Arabidopsis thaliana: one gene and its partner. The protein of the gene in region 2 binds, or shares a complex with, the protein of the main gene of each other region. Each region holds a gene or a part of one and is shown on either strand. Other genes may lie near its edges.

Region 1 (7,191 bases), on a different chromosome or scaffold from region 2:
CCAACATATACATCAAAATCAAACCCATGTTTCAAAACCTCAACTTGAATCTGTCTCCCAGCAGTGAGACCTAAAAACGAAGCACAAGCCTTGAGAAGAAAAGGAAAAGTGAGCTTATTAGGTTTGATTCCTCGTCTCTTCATCTCAGAGTAAACCCAAATCGATTCCACAGGAGAATCACTTGAAGAATAGCCTCTACTGAGCATATTCCAAGTAGAAGGAGTCGAATCTGAAGAGTGAAGCAGAAGGGTTCGCGCAAAGGCAAGGTCTTTGGCGAGGGATAGTGATGAAACCCGTACAAGCTCGCTGATGATAAAGCTGTCATTTTGGAGAGAGGAGAGATGGATTTGACCATGGATCTGTAGAAGGTGTTTAATTGAGGAACATAGCTTGAGGAAGATAAGACATTGGTGTTTCCTGGATTTGAAGCATGAATCTGAACTCCAAATCATTATGCCATTGGAGCTCTTAGAAATCGCAAAAAGTTTCAATTTTCAAATCGGTGATATATTTATAGATTTGGAACGGTTTTAACGGAACCGAAGTAAAATCAAAAGCTTATTCGGTTCGGTTTAATGTGAAATTGATATTTATCAACCAAAACATATCATCTTTACAAGGTCAGTAATATACAGAAGATTACACTTTCTCTCTGATTCTGAGATGGGTGTCAGAGGTTTTGGTTAGGAGGATCAATCTCTGATTAGAGTGTTGTTGTTTCCATTTCAAAGCTCTGATCATGAAAATTTCCTCCATGAATGTTCTTCTCGCTTCTAATCTCTGAGAACCAAAACCATGGTCGTGGGAAGATCCATGAATGATGTATCACAATCATGTGAGATGCAGATTCTGCAGAGCATGATTACAACTGTGAGTTCATGATCATGTTTCATGAAAACTAAAGGCTTTATATTAATATACTAACCAAATCAGGGAGGTGTTTATTAATCTGAATCTTCTTCACTCTCTTCTTCAGACTCGGAGCTAAGGAAACGAGCTGAGCTTCTGAGGGAAAATGATTTGTTACTCTTTGGAATCTTCGTTCTCTTTTGTTTTGTTGCAAAACCTTTCGCCACTAGTGTATCAAACAAATCTCCCATCTCCATTTTCTTTCTCAAACCATCATGTTCGTCCATGAACCTTCAGAACAATAAACATAAGACTGGGAAATATCAGATTCTAACACTAATAAAGACAATGTAAATATCAAAGGCCTGTTTCACTCGATAACATTCATTTGCTTGATCCGTTAGAGGAAACAACAGATGAATACTTCTATAGACAAGTGAAAACATCGATGCAGCAATAATTGGATCAAGCAACACCTTTCACGTATTGCTTTGAAGGCGTCTCTAGTTGCATAAGGAAGACCCGTTTTTGGATCCCGGTACCTGTATCAGCAATACACACAACAGCTAAGAACTAGTTCTAAAATTGCAGAGAAAAGATAATCAGGTTTCTAGGTTATAACATCATTTCTTTTCGAGAAGTATATATCAAAGAAACTGATAACTTCTTTTTAGTAGACCTAAGAGAGTCTACTTGTGTTCATCCCAGAGATCTTGTTCTTCCGATGAATAAAGAAGAAGAACAGAAAAACTCTTACTTGGCAGGTAATCCCGTAATCACACATACAGCTTTTTCTGGATCTGGAAAAGAGAAAACAAACCAAAAGAAAGACAGAGATCAGTATAGATCAATATGAACACATTTATGTTCATCTCCAAACACCACTCAAAATTACTTACAGGGAACAGACTTCGTCGACAACTCTGAATTGAATGACGCACCATTACAGAATTCTAAATAGTTACATCCTGCATGTAAAGTTAAAAGTTTAAACAAATATAGTTCTTACTTTTCTGGAAAGATCCAATTAGACTGGATTACTATTTTACTGGAGAGCTTACCATCTTTTGAATGATACCGAATCTGAGGACCCTTGTAGACTGCTTTATGCACAATCGCTTTCTTTTTTACTTCTTCTTCCCTTGCCAAGACACGTTCTAAATTCCTCAAGTTCATGATTTCTGCAAGAACCTGACTTTAGCAATTTTGAGTTTCTGATAGAGCAAATCAGATGCAGCATCATAAAAGCCAAACCTGTTTGAGCAGCTTCCAGCAGCATTTCTTCTTGGGTCATCCGTTTTTCCTCCCCTACTTTTTTCCTTTGTATTGGCTGAACAAACACAAAAAAGAATTCAACATGGCAAGACTTAGAAAAGAGATTAAAGTGTAGCCATGAATGTAAATAGCTAGTGGGGATGAGTTCTGAGAAACCTTTGTTGTTGCTTGTATAGCAGCACGCAATGCATCTCTTTCTGCTTGCCGTACAACCACTGAAGTCCGTGTTGATTTCCTAATGACTTTCTCACCTTCCATATCTTCTTGTGCTTCATTCTCTTCTTTTTCTTCTTGTTCCTTGTTTCCCAATTCTTCACCTGGCTTCTCATCTCCAGGAATATATTCTAGTTGTGAAACTACCTTCGTCTTCTTTTTCTTTTTCTTTGAAGCAGTTTTCCCAGGGTAAATCAGCCGCTTCTTTGGCAGATCCCTACAACAATATGCAAAATTGTAACAAAATTAAAACAGACACACATAATAGCCATCATAAGACAAGCTTTGAAAAAATTCAAACCTCAATTCTTTTTCATTTACAGCGACTGCATCAGGCTCAGGCTCCTAATCCCAAACAAAAGGCAAAAGAAAGAAATTAAAAAGAATGGAAATATAAGCAAAAACCTTGATGAATAAGTACTCAATACATAAGCAAGACATAAATACATCGTCATTGAAGTCACTGTCAAACTCATCAGCAACCTCACGTTCTGCTTCATATTCATCATCATGTTCTTCCTGCAGATAACAAAAGTAAAGAGATACATAAATGTCAGCAAACACACGAAAGTTTCTGCGATAGTATCTTGTCTACAAATCTGATTTTTTTCCATTATATATTTTGACATCTAGTCTACCTTAACAAATCATTAACATCTCTTTAAGAGAGTAAGCTATATATAAAACAAAACAAACCTCTTTAAGAGCTTCTTGATTCCAAAACTGTTCATCTTCTTCTACTTCGTCATCAAGCAACTTGGTCATCCTGAAAAAAAACAGAAAACTGATGAATAAAGCTTCCACAAGAGAGTTTCTGATACATCTCAATAACAGTGAGACAAAACCACAATCTTCAGGTGAAACACATTCATCAGGTAAAAGCTTAAGCTCAAGTAATTCTTACCGTTTACCCCGTGTTGCTCTTGTTGTACGGTCCAAGAACACCATTGGCTCTTCTTCATCGATTTCCATTGATAACTTGCTCAACTCTTACTTCTACAAGTTCACAAATTTAAACGAAAATGTCATAACACACAAATTAACAAATCAGCAAGGAACCCCCAAATTAGGGTTTCTCGCAATTTCAAGACTTTACGATTATATCGAGAGGGAAACAGGAACAAAAACCCAAAATTTGAGTGATGTACACAGTAATCGAAGAAGAGCCCATGAAAGCGAGAATGAAAAGTAATTTGTGTGATGAGCTTAAAATCTCGCTCGAGGAGTTACCTTCGGAAAATTTTAGGTTGGAGAAGTTTCTTCGACGAGCACACGTCTTCGCCGGCGACCGCCGCACCTCTTTGATTCACTCTTTCACACACGGTGCCGCTGGTTCGTACACCATTGTTATTGGACTTGAGATATTAATGGGCCTTCCACTTAGACATTTTCAAAGCCCATATTATATTAGAAGATTCTTTTTGTAAAATAAAACTTACAATGATAGACCGCTGGGGAAAAACGTTTTATTTTTATTTTTATTAATGACCTTGAGTAATTTCTTTTTACACTGGCATATATAAAATTTTAAATTAAATTTACGATGAAAAATCGTAACGTAAATAATACCAAAAAAGAAAGATGTTAAGATATATAAATCGGTTAACAAAATTGTCCAGAAATGGTAATATCATAGATAGATTTCAATTTTCAAGTCATGCATGATGTCATTTTGGATATAACACGAGTTGTCAACTTGTCATGATCGAGAAAGCAAAAGTAAACAAACAAAAAGTGTTTCTACACTCCTCTAAACTCCAAGGAGCAAGCAATATCGAAGTTGCGATCTCATGCAGGACCACTGGAGAAGGTTTCTACACTCTTCTAAAGCTACAGAAAAAAAAAAAGTATATAAGAAATTGTGTTTTTTTCTTCAATTTGAGTGTACGAATTCGAATGCTTAATAAGTATGTACTAACTAAGATGTTAGTATAAGATTCGATAATAGAGACAATTTCAAATAAAACTATCATAAATTGTTCTTGAACAAAGAGAAGTAATCGAGAACAAACGTCACAATCATTTTTTTTGGGTAATACAAAAGAAAAGTTACAATCTAAGAAAAGTTACAATCATTTCTTGGGTTGTTCTAATTGCATTATGTCTTGTAGCAAGAATGTGATGTTGGAATGAGAAGAGCCTCCTTCTTCCACAGCCTTGTGAGCTAATTCTCCAAGCTCTTTCACTCTTTTTCTTCTCTCCTTAGCATCATTACTATCACCCATCAATTCCTCCACTGCCTTCTTTACTCCTTCTTTATCCACCAGTACTCCTATTTTCTCCTCTTCTCCCCATCTCATGGACTCTTCAACCCCAGCTCTCACACCGGCTTTTAGTATCTGCACCGCCAATTTCTCATTGCAGAATTGGTCTCCAAACAGTGGCCACGTGAGTAATGGAACGCCTGAAGTGATTCCTTCAAGAGTAGAGTTCCATCCACAATGTGTCAAGAATCCTCCAACGGCAGGATGTGTAAGGATAAGCATTTGAGGCGACCATCCTGTTATGAGAAGGCCTCTTTCTTTGATTCTTTCCTTATAACCGCTCTCTGAGATCCATTCAAGTAACTCGTTATACTTCTCCCAACCTCTTATGACCCAAATGAAAGGTCTTTGGGATTCCTCGAGGCCTAAGCCGAGCTCTTTGAGCTGAGACAGAGGAAGATTGCATATACTTCCAAGGCAAACATATAGCACCGACCCTTCTTCTTTAGAATCAAGCCATTTAATACACTCGTCTTGATCAATGTCCGCCTTGTTTCCCCTCTCAGCTTGGTCTTCTCCTAACTTGTTGCACAAGGAAACCGGTCCGATGCTCCATATCTTACCCGCTTTAACCTTCTTGTAGTCTCTAACATAAGCTGGCTCGAGCTCTTCAAACGTGTTAACAATCACACCATAAGAAGTGTTATCCCCTTCTGTCATTCCGTCAAGGAAGTCTTTCCAATCTCCAGCAACTAATACCATTGGAAGCTGAGATTTTGTGAACTCAACTCTGTCAGGGAAATTAGGAATGGGGAAGTATTCCTTGTCAGACTCTATAGTTTCCAAGAACTCGTGGTTTTGGTGCATTATGTGCGTACAAAGAAGATTGAAGCAACACATGCCATGAAAGATGATTTTTGGTATACCAAGATTCTTGGCAATTCTGTTTGTATAAGGCAAACACATGTCAGCGATTATGCAGTTTGGCCTAGGTTGAATCTCTTTCAAGAGCTTCTCGACTGGTTCCTCGAGCAGGCTAAATGCTTTGAAGAAGGTTAATGAAGCCCCCAATGAATCGAGCAAGTCCAAATTCTCCTGTCCTTCCGGTGAACCCGATTCTTGAGATGGAAACTTTACTTGCACGAGATTGATGGGCAAGCCGGATTGGATAGCCCGGCTAAGAACGTTCTTGAACCGGCCTGCGTTTTGAGGTGTAGTGACAATGGTTATAGTCACCCCGCGCTGAGCCAGGAGCCTTGCAATATCTACCATTGGGATCATGTGGCCTTGAGCCATGAAAGGGAAGAGAACAAAATGAAGAGGAGGACGAAATTCCGATGCCATGAGGAACTCTCTTCTAAGGTTTATTTTTTTTGCTTTGGTTCCGATAATGTGTGTGTTTCTCTGTGCCTACATATATTAAGATGTGATGTAAGAAAGAACAAAAGGAAATTGGCTTATTATTCGTAATAGTTACAAAACACACTAAGTGGTTCACAGTACATATCGTGGCGGGCACTCATATGTTCTTTTGTATTCATATAAGCCCAAAATTTTAAGAGAAAATATCTTTTAGCTAGAGGTACGTCGAAAAGATAGTGAAAAGTTTATAGCCGTAAAAATTAGTATTGGATAAACGAATAAAGAAAGAAAAATCAAATTCGGAATATCTCAGTCTCTCCTTCTTTTTATGTCGTATGGACAAACAAGCCTCAACATTTGTCTTCAAACTAAATCAAAGTGTGTACTCTAGATTTCTAGCTATTCTAGTCTTTTTTTTTTTTTTTTTTTTTTTTGCTTTATGACGACTGATTTTGATAGGATATTAAATTAGGATATGTGAAATACTTGGTTGTTTTCTTAAAAACGTATTTTTTGTTTCCTCTTTTTTTTTTCTTCCGAAAAATCAAAACTCTTAATGAAAATTTCATTTAAAATAAAATCTCCTTAGGTGCACAAAAAAAAAAAAAAAAAATCTCCTTATGACAAATATCTTGATTGTTTGAAATTCAGATTGGTGACAAGATAAATCAAATTTTGTATAGCTATTAAAATATGAAAAACTATAAACGGATATACATAAAAGGAATTATTAGGGAAATTGTAGATTTCTTTAAAAAAAACATTATTGATAATAAGCCTAAAACCGCTAGAAGAATTAGGAAAGTTGAACTCCGCCGGACTACCAGCGCAGCTGTCTATACAATGAAATTATTAGACATTGGCTCTTTCTACGATTTCAATGTATATAAGTTGTAGTTTTTAAAATATTTACATAATTCTAATAGCAAAACAAGACGAATTCGATTACCCAACAAATAACTGATAAGATATTACATGCACGCACAATGATTTAACAAACAACAACAATATATACAATCAACTCTTGGATTCTACTTGTTGCATTATATCTTGTAGCAAAAATATGATATTAGAATGAGAAGAGCCTCCTTCTTCCACAGCCTTGTGAGCTAATTCTCCAAGCTCTCTGACTCTTTTTCTTCTCTCTTTTGCTTCATCACTCTCGCCCATTATTTCGTCCACTGCCTTCTTCACTCCTTCTTTATCCACTAACACTCCAATACTCTCCTCTTCTCCCCATTTCATGACCTCTTCAACCCCAACACTTACACCTGCTTTTAGCACCTGC
Region 2 (7,058 bases):
CATTTTCTCGAACAGTGTGATGGTTCACTTAGATTGATGGCTTTTGAGCGAGAAGAATTACGGACGCGTGCCAATGAACGTCTTCCTTGGCATGAAAAATTAGACGGAGAAGATTGCATTCAGAAACAAGTACACGAGTTAGTATTTCACCATTAGCTTGTCTTTACTGTTTATTGTCCTTTCAATTTATTACTTGAAATTACGGTTTTGTTTTAGTAGTAGCTCCTGTGTAAAATGGAAACTATATATTTTAGAAGCATCTTAAGCTGAGAGAAAAAGTAGTTGTGTTGATCTTGTATCGGTAACCTCTTTGACCAGGCTGATATCAGTTGGAAATTTGGAAGCTGCTGTTAGTTTGCTGCTTTCTTCAGCTCCAGATTCTCCATACTTCTATCCAAATGCTCTCCGAGCTGTTGCACTCGCTTCTGCTGTGTCTAAATCTCTTCTCGACCTTGCACTAAAGGTATCTGTCTTTGCTATATTGGATAATCTTTCGTGTCCTTGTAAAAAAATCATTCCATCACATTTGTTCCACACGTAGGTTGTTGCAGCCAACATGGTAAGGACCGACAATTCACTCACTGGTACTCATCTTTTATGTGCCGTTGGTAGGCACCAAGAAGCTTGTTCACAGGTTAGCTTTCTTTGTTTCCTTGGTCATACTACATATTGCATATTCTTCGGAACTATGCTTCCACTGAAATTGTCATTTCATTAGTTATTCGAGAATATTCTTAGCTTGGTTTAATAATAGGCAACGTTTTAGACACAGAATATTTTATACTTTTTAATATGCAGCTCCAAGATTCTGGACGATGGACCGATGCTGCTACCTTGGCCGCAACACATTTAGAAGGATCGGATTATGCCAGGTCTTTTCTTCTACGGTTTACTTCTAGATCTAATTATTATTTCCTATTATTGGTTACTAGTCGTTGTAACTACTCCTATCTCTCTATCTACTCAGGGTATTGCAAAGGTGGGCTGATCATGTTCTCCATGCGGAGCACAACGTCTGGCGGTACTTTATCATCATGCTCACATTCAATACAGTTTAACTTAGAAAATTTAAATGTGACATAAATTCCTCAAACAGTTCCGATGATGAGAAAAGAATTTCATTTTATTAATGCAGGGCCCTTATTTTATATGTGGCTGCTGGTTCCCTGCAAGAGGCGCTTGCAGCTCTCAGAGAGGTGCAACAGCCTGATACAGTAGCCATGTTTGTCCTCGCGTGTCAGGAGATTCATTCAGAAATCATAACCGAGCTATCAACCCAAGACGAGGAGTCTGAATCTGCTTCTGGTGATGGCACAGTACCGCTGCCCGATCTGCCTGGTCTTGAATCAGGGAAGGAAGAAGTGACAGCGGTTTGTGAATACTTTCAACAGTACCAGAGAAAGCTAGTGCATTTGTGCATGGACTCTCAACCCTACACCGACTGATGAGGAAACTATACTACCAAACTCTTTCGTTGGCTATGCAAAATTACGCACATGAAATCATCTTTGAAGAACAACAACAAAAACAAGTTTTTGCATTTAAATATTACTGTATTTGTGATATAGATAATGTTTCTGCATGTTGTACCCTAAACCCTTCTTCTGTGTAAACTTGATTTAAGAAGACAAGATAATTTTCTCTTGTTGTTTGGTTATTACTTAAACGGTTTGAAGTTTATCAAATTAGAGGAAGAAGAAAAACAATACATGCATTACAATATACGACAAATAATGTGAAGAATTTCAACTTACAACCAACTCATGTGATATTGTTTTGGTTAGCCTCAATGAAAGAATCGTCTACGACACCGAGCTGATCCAAGTTCTTCGTACTCAGCCTTGGTGACACACATGGACTCGAAATCCGGGCTGGAAGCCAAAAGTGAACCACCTCTCCATACACCTAGTATGGGGCTGCAAATACAAAAGGAGTTAAAATAACAAAGAAAGAGCTGCAAATATAAAGAGTAAAAAAAAAAAAAAAAAAAGGATTGAGGTTGTTTACTCCTCCTGAGTTGTTATCTTCACATCAAAGTGATCTGGGACAAGTGGTCGAAGCTCTCCTTCTCTGCAATAATGTCTCAGACCATCAACTTCTCTAATAATAAAGCAGTACTAATGAATGATTCATCACATAAATTTAGCCTTACAGTCTCTCCTTAAGTTGTGGAAATAATGTACTTCCACCAGTTAAGATAATGCTGCGGTAAAACATCAAACATTAGACATCAAAGCTCATTCAATAACAGCAGAAGATTAAAAATAAGTAATCCATTTGAAAACCACCTTTGATACAAAACTGGTTGCAAGTAAGAATGGCATGAGTTTATAGCTCGGACAATGCACTCTGCAAGTCCCGCCTGATTCATCCCTATCCCAAAACAAAATAAAATACCATCTCATCATCATCTTCTATCTACAACTACATTCTAACATTCATCAACACAAACCTAAATCTGCAGGCTGGAATAACGTCTCAGGTACAAGAAAACGCTCATTCGTTAAATCAATCTCCTGCAAAGACAAAAAAAAAACCTCAAACTTGAGAGAAATCCCTACCACCACCACAGAGACAAAAGAATCGAAAAAAAGTTTACATTTTTGTTCATGTCAGCCTTCTTTCTCTCCCCAACCTTATCCATCACCACCACAGACTCTTTCTCTGACAAACTAAGAAACCTCTTAGCAGCTTGAGGGTCTTTAACATAGCCTTTGGTATGTGTAACACCATCAGGAAGAACATAAGTAGACTTGATAAGAGTGTTCCCATTTCTAGCAAGGCGGAGATCACGAAGAAGATCAAGTGAAACAAAACAAAGCTTCTCTTTAGCATCATCAACTAAAAAAGTTTCATCCATAACATTAATAGATCTATAAGAAACCAATTCCTTCAAGTAATTAGTAAAAGCTTTTCCTCCTAAATCAATCCTCTTAATGGCGTGATTAAGAGTGAAATTGTGAAGAACAGGAACAGCGTGAGTGAAGGAGAAACCACAATCAACAACGAGACTACACTGAGTCTTTGAGAGGATTGAATCAGGCTGACGACTAGCTTCATAGAGATGAACAAGAGATTGAGGATGAGCTATATAGAGAGAAGAGAATCCGAAATCTTCGAAGACGAGTTCGTCGGTGGTTCGTTGAACGGAAGGGATTGAGAGTGGTGCTTCGGTGAGGAGGAGAGAGGAGGAGGAAGGAGCTATGTGGAGGAGGGAAGTGAATAGGTGTGACCAGATTTCGCGTTGTAGGTCGGAGTTTATGAGGTAGCCACGGTCGATTGGGCGGCGTACGGCGGCGGAGGTGAGGTCGATTTCGTCGGAGAGAGTGGTGAGTGGTGATGGGTGGATGAATTTTTTGGAAGAGAGAGGTTTGTAGAGACAGTTCGGGATTACGGTGGTGGGATCACGCTCGCCGCCTTGTCCGGCTTTGATTAGACCACCGCCGTTGTCTAGAACAACGATGTTTGACATTGATGACGATGACTCGCCGCCGCCGGCGAACGAACTCTGTAAGTGGTTTTTTGTTGTTTAAATGAATCGGTTTAGGATCTACTGGTTTAAGCTAGTGCGATTTTAAGAAAAGACTGTATTGGAATTACCAGTTTAGAGATTTCAAACTGAGGGAAGAGTGAATTTGAATTAGGGAAATTACTAAAACCGGTCCGGTTGTTCCGTTAAACGCTACAAAAGTTAGTAGGCCCGGGAGTTCGACTAAATCGGGTTGGTCGGATCGGGTTATTCGGTTTAAGGAAAATTCAGGGTTTTGAAAATTTCACTGAATAGACTCGAATTAAAATTCGGTTCGGATCAGTTCGGTAGTCGGTTAATTCGGATCGGTTATTAGCTAAAATTTATGTTCTGAACATGAACTGGATTTTGTATTTTTCTTGGTTTATAGATTTTTTCATTTTGGTTTACATATTACAATTACTCTATTACAAACACAAATCTAGTAAAATACTAAAATGGGAAATTTACATTTATAACCTACAAAAATATTATAATTAGGTAACTAACACTCTAAAAAAAAGTAACCAATATTGTTTGTATTTTCTGTAATAATGCCAATACTATCCCTGTTTGAAATACACGCTCTTCATCTTCTCCCTTCCATAGAAAACCAATTATTCTCTTTCACTAACTATTAACTTTTGAACATGGGTTTGGCTCTAATAAATTTCAGTCCACCGTTTATGAAGCTTTTGATTTTGCCAACGATTAACAGAGGTGTATTGGGCACAGAAGCAAGACAGTTAATTTTCGGAAATGACATTTCGGTTTTGCTCGAAATTGAATTAGAGGTTTTGATTTACACAGGCAAGACTTCAGATTTTGTTGGAGTCTTTGGTTTTTTTTAAGAGACTTTGGTTTTATTTTTTGAAATTGAATTAGTCGAGATTCTCGCTAATAAGCGCTGAATTTGATCAATCTCTGTTTTCTGTTTCCTTCATTTGATTTCTTTTTTTGGGTCTCTCTAATTTATTGGCGTCGTTGTACTTTTTGGGTATACTATTTACGTATACCTTGTACTATATATGTTTTAAAATGAATTGTTTGTTTTGATTAAGGATATTAAGTGATTTGATTAGTGTTTTATATTAAAAGTCTTGGGTTCCCTATATATTATCTTAGGGTTTAGTATCCTTCCATCAAAAAGTATTTAATTGATTATTTGGATTCATCGGAACAAACGTTTCTATTTGAACAAATATATAATATTCTATCTTTCTATGATGATCTGTATAGAATTTGATACCACTATTCATTTTTTAAGAAATTCGTTTCCGATTTTTAAAATTCAAATCATATTAGATAAACAAAAAAAAAATCTGTTTTTTCAATAGTATCTTTAACTTTAACCAAGTAATATTGTTAAACTAATAAAGTAAACAAAATCAAGAGGGGTGAATATATATTACTCATATATATTTCTCTTTCCTCCTGTGGCTTCTCTTTCTCTCCAAGCGCATCGTTGGGAAGGAGTTGGGTGTATTTTCACAACTGACATGTGCTATCAAATGAATTACACACATTATGGTGCTATATATTTAATAACTTTTTCAAAAACCGTCATTTTTGTAATTCACCCTACTAAAATAAACCATTACAAATAATATAAAAGCCCAATACAATTAAAAAACCCAACATACAATCAAAAGCCCAACCCAATAATTTTTTTAGGGTTTTGCAAAGGAATGAGCAAAGTGACTGCGGCTCTGGCTGTGATTGTGACAGCGACGGTAAAAACCACGGCGATCTCCGACCGTCCTATTCCAACTTGAAGGAGTCCTAATCAACAATGCCACTAAACTGGAAATTTGAATCCGGCGTGCCATCTTTTGATCTGCATGCCACTCTTGTAGTGGATAATACCTATTTACCCTTAATGAATTATATCAATTAATTTTAAAAGAAAAATCAAAAACAAAATCCAAATCGAAATCGAAATTATCCCGACCCAACCCAATTAATTCCGACCCAATTCATTTAATTCCGACGAGATAGGCGATTTCCGATTAACTTCCAACATCGGTGATTTTTGACATTGGCTCCGTCGAGTCTGGGGAAACTTTGCTAGGTCAGCTAATCCAATTCTCCGGCCGTCGATTTCTCCGGTGCTGCGTGCTACGTGAGTCGATACTATTGGATCGAATTCTTTATTGATCTTTGCTGCGGCTACTCTGGAAACGATCCTTCTTTAGTTCTTCCATCTCCTGTAAGTATTATAGTTAGTACAATGTAATTGAATTGAATCAATGTGTAAGCAGAATCAAACCATATTTGCATAATACAATGGATGGACGAACTGAAATTGAATCAGACACTGGTACATCTCGTGGTTCAACTGGTACTAATATAGTGTTTATATTTGTAGGAGGCGATGAAGAAGAGGATCCAGATGAACCTACACTTTGACTATGGAGGGTACTATACAGCAGACCATGAGTGAAGTTGCAAAAATTCAATATACGGTATAGTGTTTAAGACATCATCTTTGGAGAGAATAACATATGCGGATTTAATAGATAAGATCTGTAGAAAGATTGCTCTAGGTGGAGAGAAAAGGAATCTGAAATTGAGTTACAAGATATGTAAAGCATGGAGAGAGTCTTATATTGTAGATAATGAGGATGTGTTGATATATTTAACGTCATTGGATAAAGAGGGATTTAGACCTGTTTTGCATGTAGAGTTATGCAGTGATTTGGAAAGTAATAATAGGCAAGTTCCAATAGTAGAGCGAAGAAGTTCATGCGGTGTAAATTATGGGGAATTGGCTGCCAATGTTGTAATGGTTGCGGATGTAAATACAGGAATTCTGAGTACTAATGAACTTATTATTGAACTAGAGGAACAGCGTGAGACAGTTAGTGAACCTATTATTGAACTAGAGGAACAGCGTGAGACAGTTAGTGAACCTATGATGCTAGAGAATGGAGTTTCTGAAACTGTTATTGAACCGCTGATGATAGAGTGTGGGGTTAATGAAGATTCTGATAATGATTATGTTAGGGAAGAATATTGATAATAGGTTTTTAGTCAATTAATTCTAAAACACTATCCTGTCGTTGTAGTATTTTAGGTGTCAATCCAAATGAGTGTGATACAAACAAATGAGATGTGATCAGAAGTCACTAAGTCAAGCCAAGCAATAACAGTTTTGGGGTTTCTAACAGTCCTAAGCGAACATGCAGAAAACAGAAACAATAACAGAATTACTAAAATCACTCGACTACAACAGGCTGATGCCAGAAGTAGGATGTGGTCGAGTAACTGGTCGAGTAACAGACATGATATGAAACAGATATACTCGACTGCACAGTCTGTTGCCAGACACTGGGTGTGGTCGAGTATACTGGTCGAGTAACAGACAGGAAACAAGATAACTGTACTCGACTGCACAGTCTGTTGCCAGACACTGGGTGTGGTCGAGTAAGTTGGTTGAGTAATTGCAAAAACTAAGAAACAAGCAATGAGAATGATTAAGCGATAACGATAAAACAGAGAAATAATATAGACGAGAAATTCCTAAGGATGGGGTAATCGAGTATAGTGG

What was found. Proteins that work in one complex are often made in the same cells at the same time.
Region 1: ARP6 (region 2) and SWC2 share a complex: the UniProt entries of both Arabidopsis thaliana proteins name them as parts of the SWR1 chromatin-remodeling complex.

Annotation. Positions count from the first base shown.
Region 1 is NC_003071.7:15,406,122-15,413,312, forward strand, and holds SWC2 (DNA binding protein SWC2), read right to left. Parts: upstream 3,792-7,191; 5' UTR 3,568-3,791; intron 3,334-3,567; 5' UTR 3,310-3,333; coding exon 3,242-3,309; intron 3,104-3,241; coding exon 3,034-3,103; intron 2,857-3,033; coding exon 2,785-2,856; intron 2,683-2,784; coding exon 2,639-2,682; intron 2,555-2,638; coding exon 2,281-2,554; intron 2,180-2,280; coding exon 2,104-2,179; intron 2,031-2,103; coding exon 1,911-2,030; intron 1,818-1,910; coding exon 1,749-1,817; intron 1,650-1,748; coding exon 1,607-1,649; intron 1,392-1,606; coding exon 1,326-1,391; coding exon of another isoform or gene 1,250-1,325; exon of another isoform or gene 1,141-1,249; coding exon 945-1,140; 3' UTR 926-944; intron 850-925; 3' UTR 501-849; downstream 1-500. Other genes in the region: AT2G36730 (Pentatricopeptide repeat (PPR) superfamily protein), read right to left, coding at 1-452; UGT73C1 (UDP-glucosyl transferase 73C1), read right to left, coding at 4,410-5,885; UGT73C2 (UDP-glucosyl transferase 73C2), read right to left, coding at 6,921-7,191. UniProt on the Arabidopsis thaliana protein: Component of the SWR1 complex which mediates the ATP-dependent exchange of histone H2A for the H2A variant H2A.F/Z leading to transcriptional regulation of selected genes (e.g. FLC) by chromatin remodeling.
Region 2 is NC_003074.8:14,092,005-14,099,062, forward strand, and holds ARP6 (actin-related protein 6), read right to left. Parts: upstream 3,585-7,058; 5' UTR 3,473-3,584; coding exon 2,600-3,472; intron 2,517-2,599; coding exon 2,453-2,516; intron 2,374-2,452; coding exon 2,289-2,373; intron 2,204-2,288; coding exon 2,153-2,203; intron 2,071-2,152; coding exon 2,008-2,070; intron 1,917-2,007; coding exon 1,787-1,916; 3' UTR 1,652-1,786; downstream 1-1,651. Other genes in the region: AT3G33530 (Transducin family protein / WD-40 repeat family protein), read left to right, coding at 16-137, 319-463, 542-634, 799-872, 968-1,021, 1,136-1,445. UniProt on the Arabidopsis thaliana protein: Component of the SWR1 complex which mediates the ATP-dependent exchange of histone H2A for the H2A variant H2A.F/Z leading to transcriptional regulation of selected genes (e.g. FLC) by chromatin remodeling. Binds to the promoter region of FLC chromatin.